Linked DNA regions of Drosophila melanogaster. The protein of the gene in region 1 interacts with the protein of each later gene in a pairwise test. Each region holds a gene or a part of one and is shown in the gene's direction. Other genes may lie near its edges.

Region 1 (4,996 bases):
CTTACGGAGCAATGATGGCACGAGCCGGTCCATGGGACAAATCTGCGGCACCCAGCCAACGATCCAACTGTCTCGAGAGCTCGGCGCCTGAAAAGCAAAGTAAATACATTTATTAACGAATAAATAATATCGTAAACCATAATTCCCTGCTCAGGAATTGGTTTCAGTTTCGAAATCAACGAAAATAGTTGGCCAGTCGTTGCCTAGCAGCAAACAAACAAATATTTCCTGGTTTATAAGACTTTCACTAAATCGAGACTTATCACAGCAGCGATATAAAGTTATTAAATATTGATTTAAATTTTAGTTGAACATTCCGCGATGGAAACTGATAAGGAAAAACAAAGCGATGAGCTCATGAATCGCATTCGGAACGAGCTTACAGCTATATTATCTCAAGAGTAAGTTATCAAGTTACCCAATATATATATATATATATAAAAGAAGAAAAAAATCAATCCATTTATAATCCTACAACAGGGCTGCTGATGATTCCGACAAGGAGGCGTCACAGGAACTGCTCCTGAGTCCCAATCCGCTGCCCATTTTCGGGCCCATAAGGAAAACAAGGAAAGCAAAATCGAGGAGTTCCAAGAAGAACAATAGTAAGGCCTCCTCCTCGTCCGCTGGCAGTACAAAGAGTTCGTCGTCGGGTACCAGATCATCTGAAGATCGTTTAACTGGAGGTGGAGCCCAGGAGAAGCCATCGGATCCGGTCTCCACATCCTCGAGCTATTCGCTAAGATCAGGATATGACGCTCCGCCCGTGGAGGCCAGTGCCCGTGCCGACTTCCTTGAATCGCAAGCGGCCAAAAGCATCGACGAAGATGTCCGGAAGATGCAGCTGGAGCTCAAGCAGAGCTACGAACTCTTCCAGGGCATTGGCGAGAAATTGGAGTCGGTTAGCTTCACGGGCTTGAAGGACCGCATACGGGACCTGCACCTAAACGAATCCAACAACGAGTTGGGCAAAGCGACGACTGCAGAGCTTCAGATGATGTTCGACCAGCGTTTCCTGCAAAATCGCCTGGACAAGCTATCCACGGACGCCACGCAGGGATTCCGTCGGCATCCCGGCGAATTCGGCGACATACCCGAGCTGAGCACCTTCTTCCAGGCATGCACTCAGTTGGAACGCGGACTGGATGCACTGCGTCAGCAGCGGCGGCGCAACAGCGAGCTGGAGAAGCGTCTGTGCTGGGCCACCGAAATCGCATACGATCGCATGGACGAGATTCGCAATGCGGTTGGCTCGGATCCGGAAAAGAACTTCTGAATTGGTGACCTGTAGTTACATTTTTGGTTCACCCTAAGGTTCATTACCCGCACACAAACACACACACAGGCAAACACGCACAGGTGCAATACATATGCGTTTATCCCACACCCATAGGCGATGCAATAATTGATTGTGTTATCTTCTGGGCCGCAGCTGGGTTGTTACTCACCCGAGTCCGTGTACCAGCTGCCTGCATGGGTTGCTCTTCTGGCCGACATTTTGTGCGAGATCCCTAATCGGTCTGTTTAGTTAGTAAGAGCTATTAACTGGCCGTTACTTGTAGAAAAAACGAGTTCTTTGTTATTGGTACAGCAGTGTGACCGTCGTCTTGTTTTTGAAATAAACACGTTCTCTGGATTCGCTGATCAGCGGTCACACTTCTTCAGGGCTGCATTAAGTACTTAAATATCGTTTTTTTTTTGGTATAATCATATATACCATTAATACTTTTTTATTATTCTAAATAATAAATCACACAAATAAAATACAATACATAAGGTAACGTAATTTTATTTAAGTGTTGTTTTTTATTAATTTCCATAAATGAAATCGCATAACATATACAACTGAAACTCACGGAAGTCGAAAGTCGGAATTCTGCAATACCAACATTTCAAACTATACCATAATTCTTGCAGTTTGCCTGCGCGCACCGAGGTATTTTCGAACGACCCGTGTGCGGTCACACTGTTCGCATAGCGTCATTGCTGTACTAAAACCTAAAAATCCGCCGTGTTCGTATTCCGCCATTTTGAAAGCTGCGAGTGGAATTTGGACGCGTTGCTGGTAAATTAATTGTGGGAAAACTGCCCAAAAAGTGCATAAAATTTGTGAAAAGTGGTCGGCAACGGTGCATGAGACCCGCCGCCAAGTGTTTGTCCCCGAAAATTGTGTGTGGCCGCGTTTTTGGCACGTGAATTTCTTGCCCAATTGTGAACTCGCAAAAAAAGAAAAAGAAAAGAGAGAAGAAAACCGACGCCGCCGTCGCCGCCGCCACAAAGGAATAGGCGAATAAGCGAGAGAAAAAAAGGCGAAAACGAGAGCTGAAAATCAAATTGTGCGCCGCTGATTGCGTTTCAGCTATTTAATAATACCACAATCGAAAATCCGCGGCAGCGGCGATTTTTCCACGGATTACTACACCATATATTTCCCATTTGCCTTTCCGTTTGCAACGAGTGTGCGCCTGTGCCTGTGTGCGTGCGTGTGTGTGAGTGTGCGATAAACGTGTACAAGAAAAATTTAAACGTGCAGAATTCTGATGAATTTTAAAGCGGAACTGCTATTGCCTGTATAGGTGATGCGGGTGTGCGTGTGTGGGTACGCACACACACATGACCAAGTATTGTTGCGGTTTAATGCAAAAGTCGAGTGAGTGCGTGTGTGAGTGAGTGAGAGAGAGAGAGAGAGAGCAATGCCTGCCATATTCTATGCAAAACATAAATAAAATTGTGCAATAATTTCCCCGCACACGCACACAGCCACAGATACATACACTCTCTTTGTAATTTATATTTTTTTCCGCCCGCCTAGTGACAATACACACGCAAGGTTCACTGCGCAACGTCCCCCTTTTCTCAAGCACCCCCCTTTTGCCCACGCCACTGCAACATGCTGTCTCATCGTTGTTGTTTTGCCGCCGCCACATTTGGTGCGACAGAGAGAGAAAGAGCGAGCTAGCGCGAGTGCAAGAGAAAGGGTGGGAGGGAGAGGCCAAAAGCAACGAGTTTGAAAACCAACTAAAGCCTCATGTTGACACATTTCAACCGGGAGTTTTCGTTCTTTCGCTCGGATTAAAAGCCTTTAAAGGGTGAAAGTGCTGCTTATCGTTTCTTCTTCGCGAACTAAAGCTTTAAAAGTATAAATAGCTTTTATTTCCTGCGCCCGCATATTGATTGCAAATTACAAGCGCACACACTTACTCAACAACCGTTGCGATTGTTTGTTTGTGTGTGTTTATGCCGATTTGAATACACAACCAAGTGAAAAAGTTTGATCAACTTACGAATGTCCATTCAAATTGATGCTTGTTTCTAGTTTTCTTACAATTTTTGCGCTTGTCGTGTTTTTGTCATAGCTTCTTCTATCTCTATCGCTCTCTCTCTTCTCTCTTGTTCGTTCGCCCTTTCACTGTTCGACGTGCCTGTACCCATCACACACATACAAACGTATACGTCATACACACACACACACGCACACATGAAGAGGCAGACAGACAAGCAACTCTGGGCTCCCCCCTCCCTAAACCTCTCCCCTCCCAGCCACATACTGCCGCACTTGCAACGGGAATGTTGTTGGTATTGCTCGCAGTGCTCAAAACTCCGAAGAGGATTACAAATGGTGTTTTTGTTTTTGCCCAAAAACGGAAATACAGACAAACTTCTGCCACATAAAGAGTTCAAATTATAGCGACTGTTAGTTGTTTAGTCATTTGTTGTATTCCCCGCAACTTTTTGCGCACTTTTGGGGTATCTAGACTGATTACAAACCCTTAAAAGCAGCAGGCACAATTGAAATTATTGATTGCCTTAAAGTTAAAGTTAATTGCGGTTATGAAATTTTTGGCTAATTGTTCGTCATTGGGCAAAAATGAAATGCTGAGGAATTTGCTTTATAAAAACACTTAAATTTATAGTTATTAGCCACTGAATTTGTATTGCAGTCGTTAAGAATTCTTCCTACCCAATGTAGTTTTCGCTATAGAATAAATAGAAATATGGAAATATGTGGCAGAGAGAGCCGCTTTTCCCGTTTCCACTTCAATATTTGCATTGCCATGGAATTTTCTATATATATAGTCCATCGATAACTGTACATGTTGCTGAATTTGTTGTTACTAGTTTTTTTGGCGCAACAACGTTTTCCGCTTCTTGTCACTGCCCTTTTTTGGCAAATAATAAATTTGATTGTGTATGGGCTGCCCACTCCCACTAGCTAACGGTTATTTATTGTCAATGCCAGGCGATGCCGCCCACTGCCACGCCTCGTACGACCCCCCCCCCCAATCCGTTTGATGCTCTGTGTTTTTGCGCAATGTTTGTTGTTGTGTGTTTGCCGCCGACTGCGCGCGTGAAAAAATGCACACCTGCCCAAAGAATTTCACACTTGGTGGTGCACGGGGCGCAAAACAAAGCGAAAGCAGCCACCAAAATAGCAGGCAAACGTTTAAATTTAAACACAAAAGTCCGAGGAACTAAAATTCGACCAGAAACACAATGGCAGCCATGTGTGCCTCATATTCTTGTATTTTTTTTCTGCGCTCTATCTCTATCGATCTGAAAGGCAAATACAACGCAATTCGGTTGATGGTACAGGCTCTAATACCCTTAAAGCTAAATTGTCCAAGTTATAAATTTGTTGAAAATGAATGATAGTTTACAAATTCGGATGTCTTTCATCTATTCAGCGGTGGAAAGATGTATTTTGGCCAGCTAATCGTTGCATGTTTGATGGCAAACCTTTCGCCATATCTGCTATACTCCTGCGCAAGCACTTTTCAAATGAAAACAGAAAACACACACTTTCAGATGGCTCAGCCAAATTCGTCCAAAACAACAGATGCAGCGATATGGCAACAATAATAAATAGAAATAGCCAAGCAGCCGCAAAACGCAGAATCAGCAATTCGTAAGCGTGCGAGGCAATAATATATACATATATATATATATATAAATTGTATTTCATTTGATTTTTTCCCACTTCTGGTCACTTGCCACT
Region 2 (5,880 bases), on another chromosome or scaffold:
CTCTCGGGTATTCTTTGTGAAGTCAATCGCAAATTGACTTGGAAAATATATATGGATAAATCAAAATCAAACAAATCGCACTGCCACGGGAAATCGATAACTTTTTTTTTTTTTGATAGCTCTGATTCCGTGCTAATATTGAAAAATATTAGTAACGCTTTTAACGCGCTTATGTATCGCAAAAATTGAAATTTTTGGTCTCTCAACTATTCTGCAAAGGGAAAGAAAATAAAATTAGGAATGCGCATGAACGAACATATGTATACCACTCCGTACTAAGTATTTCTTACATTACTTTAGTTTAGCTCAAATTTACTTATAATTTCGAAGGAAAAAGGTTAATTTAACATTCAAGTATATATATATTTTACATATATATCTTTTCCTATTACTTATGTATTCAGTACTTTTGTATAATGGCCATAAAAAACACTGTTGAAGCGTGATTTTTGTGTAAGCACGAAGTAAAGTAGCTTTATGCAGATATACACTAGACCCAACGTTACAAAAATTGTGGAAAACTGAATTATTTAGTATAGATATATATAAATGTACATTTTCATGCACGTATGCATTTACATATGGATGAAAGCCACGCCATTTAAACTTTTGAGGTTGTGTTCGTTTTGGTCACAATCACTTTTCAATACCTTTTCCACAAGTTTTCTATAAAGCGTTTCTGATCACAATGAAAGTAAATTAATAATTTTACTGAATTAACCGTTTAAGAAAAGATTTTCTCCGAAGTCCACGAACATACGACTAAACGTCACAGCACAATATGACCATAACGACTTTAGTGGGCTGCAGCCTATCACTATCGATTGGCCGAATATGATGTGAATGAATTTTAGCCTTTTCACACTTTCACTTTTATATAATTTATATGGTATTTATTAAAATGAAGATATGTAATAATACGCTTAAAAACGAAAGACCATTTTTAAAAATGAAGTTGACTAAAATAGAAACAAATATATGTGTTATATAATTAAACGTAGTTCCAATCAGCCTTTTAAAATATATGTTATAAGAGTGGATCATCTGTATTTCTTCTATATTCCAATACCAATATACCACATTTTTTGTAGAGGATATCTTATTTATTTTATTGAAAAAATGTTTAAAATATTATTTCAAGAGCCACATTTTAAATAGTATCGATACCCAACTCGCAGTGAGTAAGCACTAGAATGTAACTACGGGTAAGATATCGATTGTCCACGTTTTCACTAGCAAATATAAATTGCATTTTATGGAATACTTATCGATATTCTTACAGTACTGGAAAACTTTTTCATATCGATTTATTTTTCTGCGTATACAGAACGTACTTTCGTTTCATTGTTGTCCAAAAAAGATAATAATATTATATACTTGCGGTTATTTACAACTGCAAGTAATGTGTCACTAATTTTTAGTGAAAATAACACAAAATACGACTTGTACGGCAAATAAGTATACGAGGCAATCACGATAAATAAAAAACCGTGAGTATGGAATTTCAAGTGGACGCTTCTCAATACTTACATGCACATATATCGATGTGTGGATATGTACATACACCTTGTTATAAACAGTTTAAATCTTTTCTGACGTAATAAAATCTCAAGAATGTACATGTAAAACCAACAAAATGTTTTCAAACTGCATTCAAATTAATGCTTAACCATAACCTTGTGTGTATGTAAATATAAACTTGGCAGGTTGATTTTTTTTTACCATTCTGCTGGCACTAAACATACGTACAAGTGTATGTATGTGATGCACTCGGCGTCATTTATCTGTACATGTGTAAAATGTAACGTTACCTGTGGTACACAGCAATAAATAAATAGAAATAAGTTCATAAATAGTTCGGGTAACTGCCCAGCTTCGTGCTACGCATCTGAGATACTTTTTCACCCCCAAAAAGATATGCCGCTTCATGAGATTGCGACAGGTGGAGATTATTGCATTTCCAATAGGATACCAAAATGTCTTTTCACTTTTGCTCAAATGTCTGGGGGATTATTTTGTGGTGGGGTTTGTGGGTTTAATGGCTTTGTTGGTATCTCTTCTATAGATATGATGAATTTTGTAGCAAAAGATTTAATTGGTGTATTTGTTTTCAGTTTGTTAAGTATACATTAACTCAAGTTTTTACTACATTTTTAAGGGTTTCAAACTTATGTTTTTATATAAAAAAGAAATATTTATTAAATAATAAAACACTAAAAAATCGAATTGGTAGAAAAAATATTGGGTTATTTCCTTTTTTCTTGCATGATTTTAATATTTGATGTTTAATATTATTACAGAAACTTGGATTTGTAGCTTGCTTTGTGTTGCGGCACCATGGAGGACCCCAATCGCATGTTGGCCCACACCGGCGGCATGATGGCTCCGCAAGGATACGGCTTGTCTGGCCAGGATGATGGCCAGAATGCCGGCAGCGAGAACGAGGTGCGCAAGCAGAAGGACATCGGCGAGATATTGCAACAGATAATGAGTATCTCGGAGCAATCACTTGACGAGGCCCAGGCCAGAAAACATACACTAAACTGTCACCGAATGAAGCCGGCACTTTTCTCTGTACTTTGCGAAATCAAGGAGAAGACCGGTAAGCTTAAAACCCTATATTTATCTCTCATTCAAGACCATCAAATAAGTTGAAATGGTATTATGGATTTTGTGATTTGCTTGTGATACAATTGATTTACTAAATCAAACACAATTCTTAACGTAATAGTCTTAAAACGTTCAGTATGAAATTATTTTTATCATTCGTCTTCTTCGTTAAAACTATTACAGTCCTCTCGATTCGCAACACCCAGGAGGAGGAGCCCCCAGATCCGCAACTGATGCGCTTGGACAACATGCTGATTGCCGAGGGCGTGGCCGGACCCGAGAAGGGCGGTGGCGGAGCAGCGGCTGCCTCTGCGGCTGCGGCCAGCCAGGGCGGTTCCCTGTCCATCGATGGTGCTGACAATGCCATTGAGCATTCCGACTACCGTGCCAAGCTGGCACAGATCCGTCAAATATATCACCAGGAATTGGAGAAGTACGAGCAGGCATGCAACGAGTTCACCACGCATGTCATGAATCTTCTACGCGAACAGAGTCGCACGAGGTTGGTGTATATAGATAAATGCAAAATGATGGCCATCATTTGGGTAATATAATCGTATTTCAGACCCATTACACCAAAGGAAATCGAGCGAATGGTGCAGATCATCCACAAAAAGTTTAGTTCCATACAAATGCAGCTGAAGCAGTCGACCTGCGAGGCTGTAATGATACTTCGTTCGCGTTTCCTGGACGCACGCCGCAAACGCCGCAATTTCAGCAAGCAGGCATCCGAGATTCTCAACGAGTACTTCTACAGTCACTTGAGCAACCCATATCCATCCGAAGAGGCCAAAGAGGAGTTGGCACGAAAGTGTGGCATCACGGTAAGTAGTGTAGGGCACATTAATCAACAATGCAAATCCGATTGCAGCATAGTAAATAAAACAAAACACACTCATGCAGGTCTCGCAAGTATCGAATTGGTTTGGCAACAAGCGTATTCGCTATAAGAAGAACATTGGTAAGGCACAGGAGGAGGCCAATTTGTATGCGGCCAAGAAGGCGGCTGGTGCTTCACCGTATTCCATGGCCGGTCCACCCAGCGGGACAACCACACCCATGATGTCACCCGCTCCGCCACAGGATTCCATGGGCTATCCAATGGGCTCCGGCGGATACGACCAGCAGCAACCGTACGACAACAGCATGGGCGGCTACGACCCAAATCTCCATCAGGATCTAAGCCCCTGAGGATCAGGGCTGTGAACCACTCCCAGTCCGGAGAATCCCTCATACAGTTGCGGTCAAAATAACTGCGCTGAAAAATCTAACATGCAGTTTTTTCATAATTATGCGGCTTATATTTGCTTCTTCGCCAAGAACAACAATTCTTAAGGGATTTTTAAATTCAGCTTTCTGTCCTTTGGTTTCGAGTCAGATAAGTTTAAAATTCCCATCAATTTAGATATAGTTCCGATAGATATACATAAATACGTGAGTAGAATATAAATACGTAATAGTTAGTTTGTGCTTGCTACATTTTGGTTGGCAGAAAAAACTTTGCCTGCTTAAATCAAAAAAGAAAGTAAATAAGCTGATATGGTTTTTTAATTGACACAGTCTCCTGCTTTTTAACAATATATGCATGCAGGATGTATTAAGAAGTCGACAATTGAATAATGGCCTAATTAAGAATATTTTTTGCCCGAACATAAAACGAAAAGTTTGCTCGCTTTTTTTTTTTAATTCACAATCAATTGAAATGGAAAGCATGTTGTTTGTGGCATGTCAACTGTAAAATACATAAATACGTAATAATTCGCTTAAGCGATTATAATTTGATCAACGTTCTTTAAAAAGGGTTAATAACCAATGCAGTGACTTTTTCTGCATAGCCCCATTTAGCTTATATATTAACCATCGAAAACATATGCAAAGAAACTCGATTAAACTGGTAGTATACGAATATTTTCACAACGAGTGGAGGAGGCACAAGTTTCAGAGCTATTATTTTGACCGCAGCTGTGTATAAATATATTTTAATACATTTACCTACATTTGCGGGTATATACAAATATTGCATGTAAATCATACTATGACGATTCTTTTTTGGCTACAGTACGTATACGACAGCAAAATAGTGTTTACTGAATTTAAAACTGTACGAAATTTTTAAAAACTTGAACAATACGAAAATACGAAACTAAACCATGTATACGATGTATATCAAATAAATAAATAATACATGTTGTTGTTATCCGCACACACGTCAACTAATTACAAAAATATTTTGAATGTAAAAACGGAAAAGAAAAGTCTTGGATAAACAAAATGTCACATTTCTATCGAAGGACGAATTGTATTATTTAACAGCTTATAACATTTAATAGATTTATTAACGTGTATTTTAAAAGTCTCAAAACAATTGTTTGTTTCTTACATCCTAAAAAGTATTAAACATTAAATCTTAATGGATTTCTTGCTATAAAAACGAACTTCCCAACTTAATTGCATTATAAAATCAAGAACAAATTCGTCTTTCGCTTAGTAAGAAGTGTACACTACTCTTTGCCCCCAATTAAAACGGATATGAAAACAGATTATTTGAAAGTATACAAAACGATTATAATTTTAAATGATAAATAACATATGTCTTTGACAGACTTTCGCTCACATTACGGTCAAATGAAACCATTCAATGTATTTCAGTAAGTAAGGTACTGCATTAAACATTTTGGATAACAATAGAAAAATATATAAATACACAACTTTACACAAATAACTTAATAAATCAAAACGAAGTATTAATTAATGGTTTTTTGGGAGTATTAAAGAAAAGGGCGTTATCCTTTGCAGATAATCTATACACGTAATAGAAAGAGATGGAGCATCTGTAGATACACTTGCTCTTCTTTAATTAAAACTATCTGGCTCACAGATAGAAATCATTCTTTTATGTGGGGTTGGTCAATAAAAACAGAAGAATTTTAATTTTTTAGATTTTTGGCAGCTGTAAAACAGACAAAAAATTTTAATTTTAGGCGTATTTTATTTTTATTATGGTTCATTACGGCTTAATGTACTTCACCCCACATCTTACAGTTATTCCCAAAAGTGTGTAGTAATTTATATAAATCACTTTGATCGACCAATTTTAAATTTATAAATAATAAAGTAGAAATTTTAAAAAAATTCACCCGCTGCCCCAATGCATTCCACAATTTAAGAACACGTTCCACTTATCTAGCACTCAATCGCCGCTACCTTGACGCGCATGCTGGCACTGCCCGGAATACTTTGAATTGTCAATACGGCCACACTGTTGGCAAC
Region 3 (7,560 bases), 7.6 Mb from region 1:
GCAGTTAGAGAACACTTAGTACTTACACGCAGAGAAAAGCATAGATGATAGGCATAGCAATTTACCCTCGTAGGCGTGGCTCCAGTTTTCCTTTTAGCAATTACGTGCCATGTTCAACACAAGACTTGATTTCACATTTTCCACATTTGACTGACCTTTAGGCATACATATGTATCGAATCCCGCGGCTTGAATTTGATTCCCATCACTCTTTGTTTTCCAGTTTGGCATGCAAAATTATGAAGCAAATCGGCAAATTAGTTAAACAATTGGCAAAACGTCTGTGATATTTGAATTATGTTGGCAAACGGAAGACAAAACTAAATTTAATTTATTACGTTGTGTGCCCTCTGTTGTAATGTCTTACTTTTTACTTTGTGCAATATCTACTAAGCATATATTCTTAGCCGTTCTCGTGCAATCGACGACTTTTCGCCCATATCAAAAGCAACTCGAATGTAGCCTATACTTAAACTAACCTACTGATAATCGGACATGATAGACGCGTAAGACTTACATTATATTTTGCATTAGGACTTCAGAGTATCTGAATAACAATTGGCGGATGGCCGCGGTGGCGAAAGCGACATTACGAGTTGTGTTTAAATTTAAGAAGCTGAAGAAGGGTTGTACTCCGCATGCAAGGGCTATTTAAATATATATTTTAACCCGCCCGAGCTCACCATTACCAGAAATTCGATAAACGAGCAAACAGTATTATACGCAATAAAAAGACACCTGCAACCATAAGTATTTACCTAGCTGATGTGTGGGAATTTATCGTAACATACCATATTATCGCTTAATGTTTAACTTCTGGACTTAATAATAAATAAATATTTTATTCTACGACAAAGAAGAACTTTTCAATGTAACATTATTAACTGCTTTAAGTCATATCCTTAAACTTTCGCCTTGAAAATCTTTAAAACCCTACAGGTATTCCAAATTAATAATCTCAGGTGCTAGAAATTTAATTAATATATTTTGGAAACAGCATAAATTAGTGAAAATACAACATTGTTTTAATCAAACATTTTTAAAAGCATGTTTTCGGTTGCAAAGTTTTCCAATTTCAATCCTGAAATTAAAGTTGAGTTGAACAATTGCTATAAAAAGCGACCATTTATTACGTTTTATAAACTGTCCCGATTGTGATTTTAGTTGTTTATTTTATTTCATATTTAAAACCGTTACTATTTTAAAAATCGTTCGCTAAAGATTGTGCTTTTAAGCATTGATAACTATCGCTAATTGCCAGAATTCGTAATCTTATTTGACTTGAATTGTAAAAATATAGGATTTAGGATTTTTACCAAATAGATGTAGTTCAAAGAACACAATTCTTTTTATTATTAAGCATTTTATTTTGGGAGTTCCTTGCACTAGCTTTTTGCAGCGACCTGTGTGTAAGCTTACATTGAGATAACATTAATGTGAACGTGCAGCGAATGCAGCACTATAACATTGGCCAGTGGAAACATGATATTTGCTAGCATGCTGACTGGCGCCGTGGATTTTGACGTTCTTAGTTGACGGTCACACAGCGCACCGAGCTGCGTTTTTCGTTGATAATTTTTAAATTTATTTATTAGTTTATTGGTTGGAAATAGAGCTGCCCCCAACTGCCCGCTGACCACGGAATTATCGGTCCGGTCCACCGACCTCCGCTTTCACACACTATTCGGCAATCGATATATACGCTGACGGTAATTGGAGAACGTTTTTTCCATTTTATCTCCACCTTGTCCGCACTTCGTTTTGTGCTCTCTTTGTGCGCTGCCTCCGCTTAACATTTGGGCCTGTAAGAAACACATATAAGCAGAACGGCCCGCCGTGTGTGCCTGTGAAATTGGTTAAATAACGTACAGTGGAATGGGCCAATGGCCAAAATGCAATAAGAATATGTGTGTGCAATAAAAATAGGGAACGGTACCGTGCCCCAAAACATGAAAATGGTGCTAGACGCTCCTAACGCCGTGCCGAGCTGGCATATTTTGCTTAGCGACGCCGTCGGCTCCGTTTTTCCCGGCCGCGAACTTTGCGCGAGGAATTTACAACAAAAACAATGAATTAAATGGTATTTAAATTGTCCATATAATGCGGTTTGGAAATGCGAAATTGTGCCTAACTTGCCCAATGCAAACGAATGTTTCTCTTTGAAGGCCCTGCTTAATGACGTCACAAGCGTAGCAGAGTGCAACAGACAGACAACAATGACCGATGAGCATAAAAGTAACATTAACAGTAACAGCAGTCACTCCAGCAACAACAACAACAACGGCAGCAGCAGCAATAACGACAACAACAGCAACGACGACGCAGCAAGTAGCAGCAACAGCAAAAACAACAACACCAGCAACGAGAGCAGCCACAGCAACAACAATACTAGTAGCATAATTGCAGAGGCGGCCGCCAAGTTTCTACTGAAAAATGGCCTAAACGGCAGTAGCAGCACCAGCTACCCCCCTCTGCCACCGCCTCTGCCCGCCAACTTAAGCAGGACGACCACGCCCACGACAACGACAACGCCCTCATCCTCCAGCTCCACCGCCTCAAATGGCTTTTTGCCGCATGCCAAGACGCCCAAAAGTAGTAGCATTATGGCTGCGTCCGCCGCAGTGGCAGCCAGCGTCGTTGGAGCTACTGCGTCCAAGCCCACCATCGATGTCCTGGGGGGCGTCCTGGACTACAGTTCCTTGGGCGGAGCTGCAACAGGCTCACTGCCCACCACTGCAGTAGTAGCGGCGGCAGCGGGAACAGCGAAGATCGGCAAGGGAAGCAACTCCGGCGGAAGCTTTGATATGGGCAGGACACCAATATCGACGCACGGCAACAACAGCTGGGGCGGCTACGGTGGTCGTTTGCAGTTCTTTAAAGGTAAGTATCTTGGTTTATTTATACCGAATCAGAGCAGTGTAAAGAAAACCATTTTTTAACTATTCTGCGTAGATGGCAAATTCATATTGGAACTGGCGCGGTCCAAGGATGGCGATAAAAGCGGCTGGGTTTCGGTCACGCGCAAGACCTTCCGCCCTCCATCGGCGGCCACCTCCGCAACTGTGACCCCAACGTCGGCGGTGACCACAGCGTATCCAAAGAACGAGAATTCCACATCGCTGAGCTGTACGTAACACATGGCATAGTAGTTCCCAACGGATTACCCCTTCCATTTAATTACTTGACCCGATTGGAATCAGATTTGAGTAAAAGGAATTGGATTTTGAAACATGTGTAGATAGCTAGCTTAATCCGAGCGGTCAAAGCTTACAAACACTTGCAGTTATAAAAAACATGTGCCTATTTGACTTAAATTGTTCTAATGGCACGTAGAGGATAAAGTCCAATTTCGAAAACAAAAAATCTGTAAAAAACGACCGCACCTATGTTCAAATCTCTGATCTATTTTAAAACTGTATATATCGGCCATCTCTAATATTATATTTAAAATCTACGAAAATGTCAAACGTTTTAATGAAATAGTAAGAAAAAACCAAACTGTTCAGAATCGGTCATGTTCTTTGTATGACAGTTTTCCAATTCGATCCTATAAAATATAATGTCCTCCCATCCTTGTATACATTTAAATCCTATTTCATAAATTGTTAACAATCTGAATCAAACAAAAGCAAATATTTATTTATGCCAAACTATAATTAACTACTACAATTTGTCTATGTATACCTTGCGTTAATATTCCTCTTCATTGCAGTTTCGGACGACAACAGCTCGATACAATCCTCTCCTTGGCAGCGAGACCAGCCCTGGAAACAGTCCCGACCCAGGCGCGGCATATCTAAGGAGCTGTCGCTCTTCTTCCACCGCCCCAGGAACAGTACGCTTGGCCGAGCTGCTCTCCGGACAGCCGCTCGCAAACGACGGCGCCCCCACGAGCCGCTTACCACCAGCGAGGATCAGCAGCCCATTTTTGCGACGGCAATCAAGGCGGAAAATGGAGACGATACTCTTAAAGCAGAAGCTGCAGAGGCCGTTGAAATTGAAAATGTTGCTGTGGCGGACACAACCACAAATGAGATTAAAATTGAAAAACCGGACACGATCAAAGGCGAGGATGATGCTGAACGGCTCGAAAAGGAGCCGAAGAAGGCGGTTAGCGATGATAGCGAGTCAAAAGAAGCATCGCCCGGTCAGCAAGTGGAACCACAACCAAAAGATGAGACTGTTGATGTTGAGATGAAGATGAATACGAGCGAGGATGAGGAACCCATGACAGAGCTGCCCAGAATCACGAATGCCGTAAATGGTGATCTAAACGGCGATCTAAAGGCGAGCATTGGGAAACCAAAATCCAAGCCGAAGCCAAAAGCCAAGCTCAGCAGCATCATTCAGAAACTCATCGATAGCGTACCAGCACGGCTTGAGCAAATGTCGAAGACATCAGCTGTGATCGCATCGACAACGACGTCTTCAGATCGCATTGGTGGCGGTCTAAGTCACGCCTTGACGCACAAAGTAAGTTTTACTTGGCACAACCTGCATAAGCTGCGGTTTCAAATGTTAATCATGTACTGCAACATTTTTATTATGTTAAAGTTGTAAATCTAGTTAGGGACTTTCATAAAGAAAAAACTTTGAATTGACCACTTAAATATCTTCTTTTAGGTTTCTCCACCCTCTTCTGCGACAGCAGCCGGACGACTAGTCGAGTACCACACCCAGCACGTGTCGCCCAGGAAAAGAATCCTGCGCGAGTTCGAAAAGGTGTCGCTAGAGGACAACGGATGCGTAAACAACGGCAGCGGTGGAGCTAGTAGCGGTGGTGCTGGAGGAAAACGGAGTCGAGCAAAGGGAACTTCGACATCGTCTCCGGCTGGCAAGGCGTCACCAATGAACTTGGCGCCACCCCAAGGAAAGCCAAGCCCCAGTCCCGGCTCCAGCTCATCCAGCACTTCGCCAGCGACCTTGTCAACGCAGCCAACGCGGCTCAACAGCTCTTACAGTATCCACTCCCTGCTAGGTGGGAGCAGTGGCAGCGGTAGCTCATCCTTCTCCTCCTCTGGCAAGAAGTGCGGCGATCACCCGGCAGCTATTATCAGCAATGTGCACCATCCACAGCACTCAATGTACCAACCCAGTTCCTCGAGCTATCCACGCGCCCTGCTCACCTCGCCAAAGTCGCCCGATGTGAGTGGCAGCAATGGCGGGGGCGGAAAATCGCCCTCGCATACAGGAACCAAGAAGCGTTCGCCACCGTACTCGGCGGGATCACCCGTAGACTATGGCCACTCCTTCTACAGGGATCCCTATGCGGGAGCAGGTCGTCCTTCCACATCGGGCTCAGCATCGCAGGACCTGTCGCCACCGCGCTCTTCCCCAGCATCGCCAGCCACGACGCCGCGTACTGTGCCCAAAAAGACTGCATCGATCCGACGCGAGTTCGCTTCACCGTCGGCCAGCAGCAGTAGCTGTCCCTCGCCCGGCGACCGGAGTGCATCGCCCCCGGAACGGCGGCACATGCAGCAGCAGCCGCACCTACAGCGTAGCTCGCCGCTGCACTACTATATGTACCCGCCACCGCCCCAGGTGAACGGGAACGGCTCGGCCGGAAGTCCGACCTCGGCGCCGCCCACGTCGAACAGCAGTGCAGCTGCAGTAGCGGCGGCAGCAGCGGCCGCAGCCGCATACATTCCCTCGCCTTCGATATACAACCCGTACATATCCACACTGGCGGCGTTGAGGCACAATCCGCTGTGGATGCACCACTATCAGACAGGAGCGTCGCCCCTGCTGTCGCCACATCCACAACCCGGTGGCTCAGCGGCCGCCGCTGCTGCAGCTGCTGCTGCGAGATTATCGCCCCAATCGGCCTATCACGCGTTCGCGTATAACGGAGTGGGAGCGGCTGTTGCCGCTGCAGCAGCTGCGGCAGCCTTTGGACAACCGGCGCCCAGTCCCCACACGCATCCGCACTTGGCCCATCCGCACCAGCATCCGCACCCGGCTGCACTGACCACCCACCACTCTCCCGCTCACCTGGCCACGCCAAAACTGACTGATAGTAGTACCGACCAAATGTCTGCAACGTCCAGTCATCGCACAGCCTCCACTTCGCCGAGCAGCTCGAGCGCATCGGCCTCCTCCTCGGCGGCCACTTCGGGCGCCAGCTCCTCCGCAATGTTTCATACTAGTAGTCTAAGGAATGAACAAAGTTCAGGTAAGCATTCAATCAGTGCACCAATAATGGCAAGCAGTTTGATGATTCAATTTTCATTCCTCTGGGAATGTCTGAAGAAAATATATTACAGATCCATTTATTATGTTGTCAATTTAATGCACGTAAAACACAATTTAATAACGTTTCTTATTTATTTCTTCCTTAGACTTACCACTGAATCTGTCAAAGCACTGAGACATACACACGCCCCAGCTGCCCCAGTTTCTGGGCCAACCATTCGAGTTAAGAACATTTTCGCACTAGTAGCGCTTAAGACGACATTCAATACACGTAATATAATTTGATAAGTTCGCTGATAGTTTAGTTGTAACCCGATTGTTTAATCCTAAGCCTAATCCTAGGTTCTCAATTAGGGCCGAACATTTAGAAATCGCATACAAAAAGAGATGAAAAACTCAACTTTGTTTTTAAACCCGTTCCAGAACTCTTTATACAATCAGTTGAGAAATTTTATTTTCGACAAACTGAATAAAATATGCAAAGGAATTTTATTCTATGCCGACTAATGGAAAGAAATACTAATAAAAACATTTTCTATAGGATGTATAAAATGCAAGTCTTAAAGAATCTCAAAAAAGAGTTACGTTTTTTTCATCAAAACATTTCCTTGAAACAGACTGAACCTGAATTTTTTTAGAAAAAAAAAATGAAAAACTTAGTTACGAATCGCAAAATATAACATTTTAAAGTATATTTAACAAAACTACAAGAACAGATTTTTATAAAATGCTTGTGCCTTTAAAAATGGAAACAGAACTAGGGATACAAAAATTAATATTAAAAAGAAAAAGAAGTTTACTATAAAAACATTTATGTGCAAGCATGTGCAGGTATTCTATGGTGAAAACTTTAGAATTTCTTGATATCGTGGTCCAAAATGCAGTTGACAGGAATTTGCACTAAGCAGATTGTATACGACACCAACTTTTTAAGTACTTTTAAAAATGTATCTTTTAATTATTTCGGAATAATTATTCTAAAATAGTTAAAAGATAAAAGCAATCCAAAACTATACAACTCGTCTGTACTTCAAAACGAAAGAGATTACTCTTTGGTCTTACATTTTTTGGTAGACTGTAAAAACTAAAATTCGAAAAAATTGTTGAAGTTTGAATTTAAATCCTCGGCGGATCTAAATTTAACCTCCACGATTGTTGTCACCATCAAAAATATTATATAACTGTGCCTAGTGCACATTCGCTGTCAGTGGCTGTCCAATCAAAAACAAATAAAATGTACAAAAAATCCACATATACGACAAATTTACAAGAAACGGAAAGCAAAAAGATCCTAAGCAGACAATTTCAAACCGGAACTCGTACAACTGAAACTGATACAAATAAAAAACATATTCCTAACGCAAAA

Evidence for each region.
Region 2: the proteins of CtBP (region 1) and exd interact in a two-hybrid assay, tested with the Drosophila melanogaster proteins (2 studies listed by BioGRID, with this or other methods).
Region 3: the proteins of CtBP (region 1) and H interact in a two-hybrid assay, tested with the Drosophila melanogaster proteins (5 studies listed by BioGRID).

The regions. Positions count from the first base shown.
Region 1 is NT_033777.3:13,009,684-13,014,679, forward strand, and holds the start of CtBP (C-terminal binding protein), read left to right. Parts: upstream 1-1,965; 5' UTR 1,966-2,065; exon of another isoform or gene 2,066-2,489; intron 2,490-4,996. Other genes in the region: CG8031 (uncharacterized protein), read right to left, coding at 6-87, 1,449-1,497; CG11656 (uncharacterized protein), read left to right, coding at 322-401, 481-1,276. UniProt on the Drosophila melanogaster protein: Corepressor targeting diverse transcription regulators. Hairy-interacting protein required for embryonic segmentation and hairy-mediated transcriptional repression.
Region 2 is NC_004354.4:15,991,172-15,997,051, forward strand, and holds exd (extradenticle), read left to right. Parts: upstream 1-1,528; 5' UTR 1,529-1,753; intron 1,754-1,764; exon of another isoform or gene 1,765-1,942; intron 1,943-2,300; 5' UTR 2,301-2,337; coding exon 2,338-2,602; intron 2,603-2,793; coding exon 2,794-3,112; intron 3,113-3,175; coding exon 3,176-3,434; intron 3,435-3,513; coding exon 3,514-3,801; 3' UTR 3,802-5,338; downstream 5,339-5,880. UniProt on the Drosophila melanogaster protein: Transcription factor which acts with the selector homeodomain proteins altering the regulation of downstream target genes such as wingless (wg), teashirt (tsh) and decapentaplegic (dpp), thus affecting segmental identity.
Region 3 is NT_033777.3:20,620,420-20,627,979, forward strand, and holds the start of H (hairless), read left to right. Parts: upstream 1-1,518; 5' UTR 1,519-2,076; coding exon 2,077-2,079; exon of another isoform or gene 2,080-2,164; coding exon 2,165-2,879; intron 2,880-2,951; coding exon 2,952-3,125; intron 3,126-3,711; coding exon 3,712-4,472; intron 4,473-4,622; coding exon 4,623-6,174; intron 6,175-6,340; coding exon 6,341-6,369; 3' UTR 6,370-7,560. UniProt on the Drosophila melanogaster protein: Is a potent antagonist of neurogenic gene activity during sensory organ development. The expression of distinct cell fates by the trichogen (shaft) / tormogen (socket) sister cell pair depends on the level of H activity.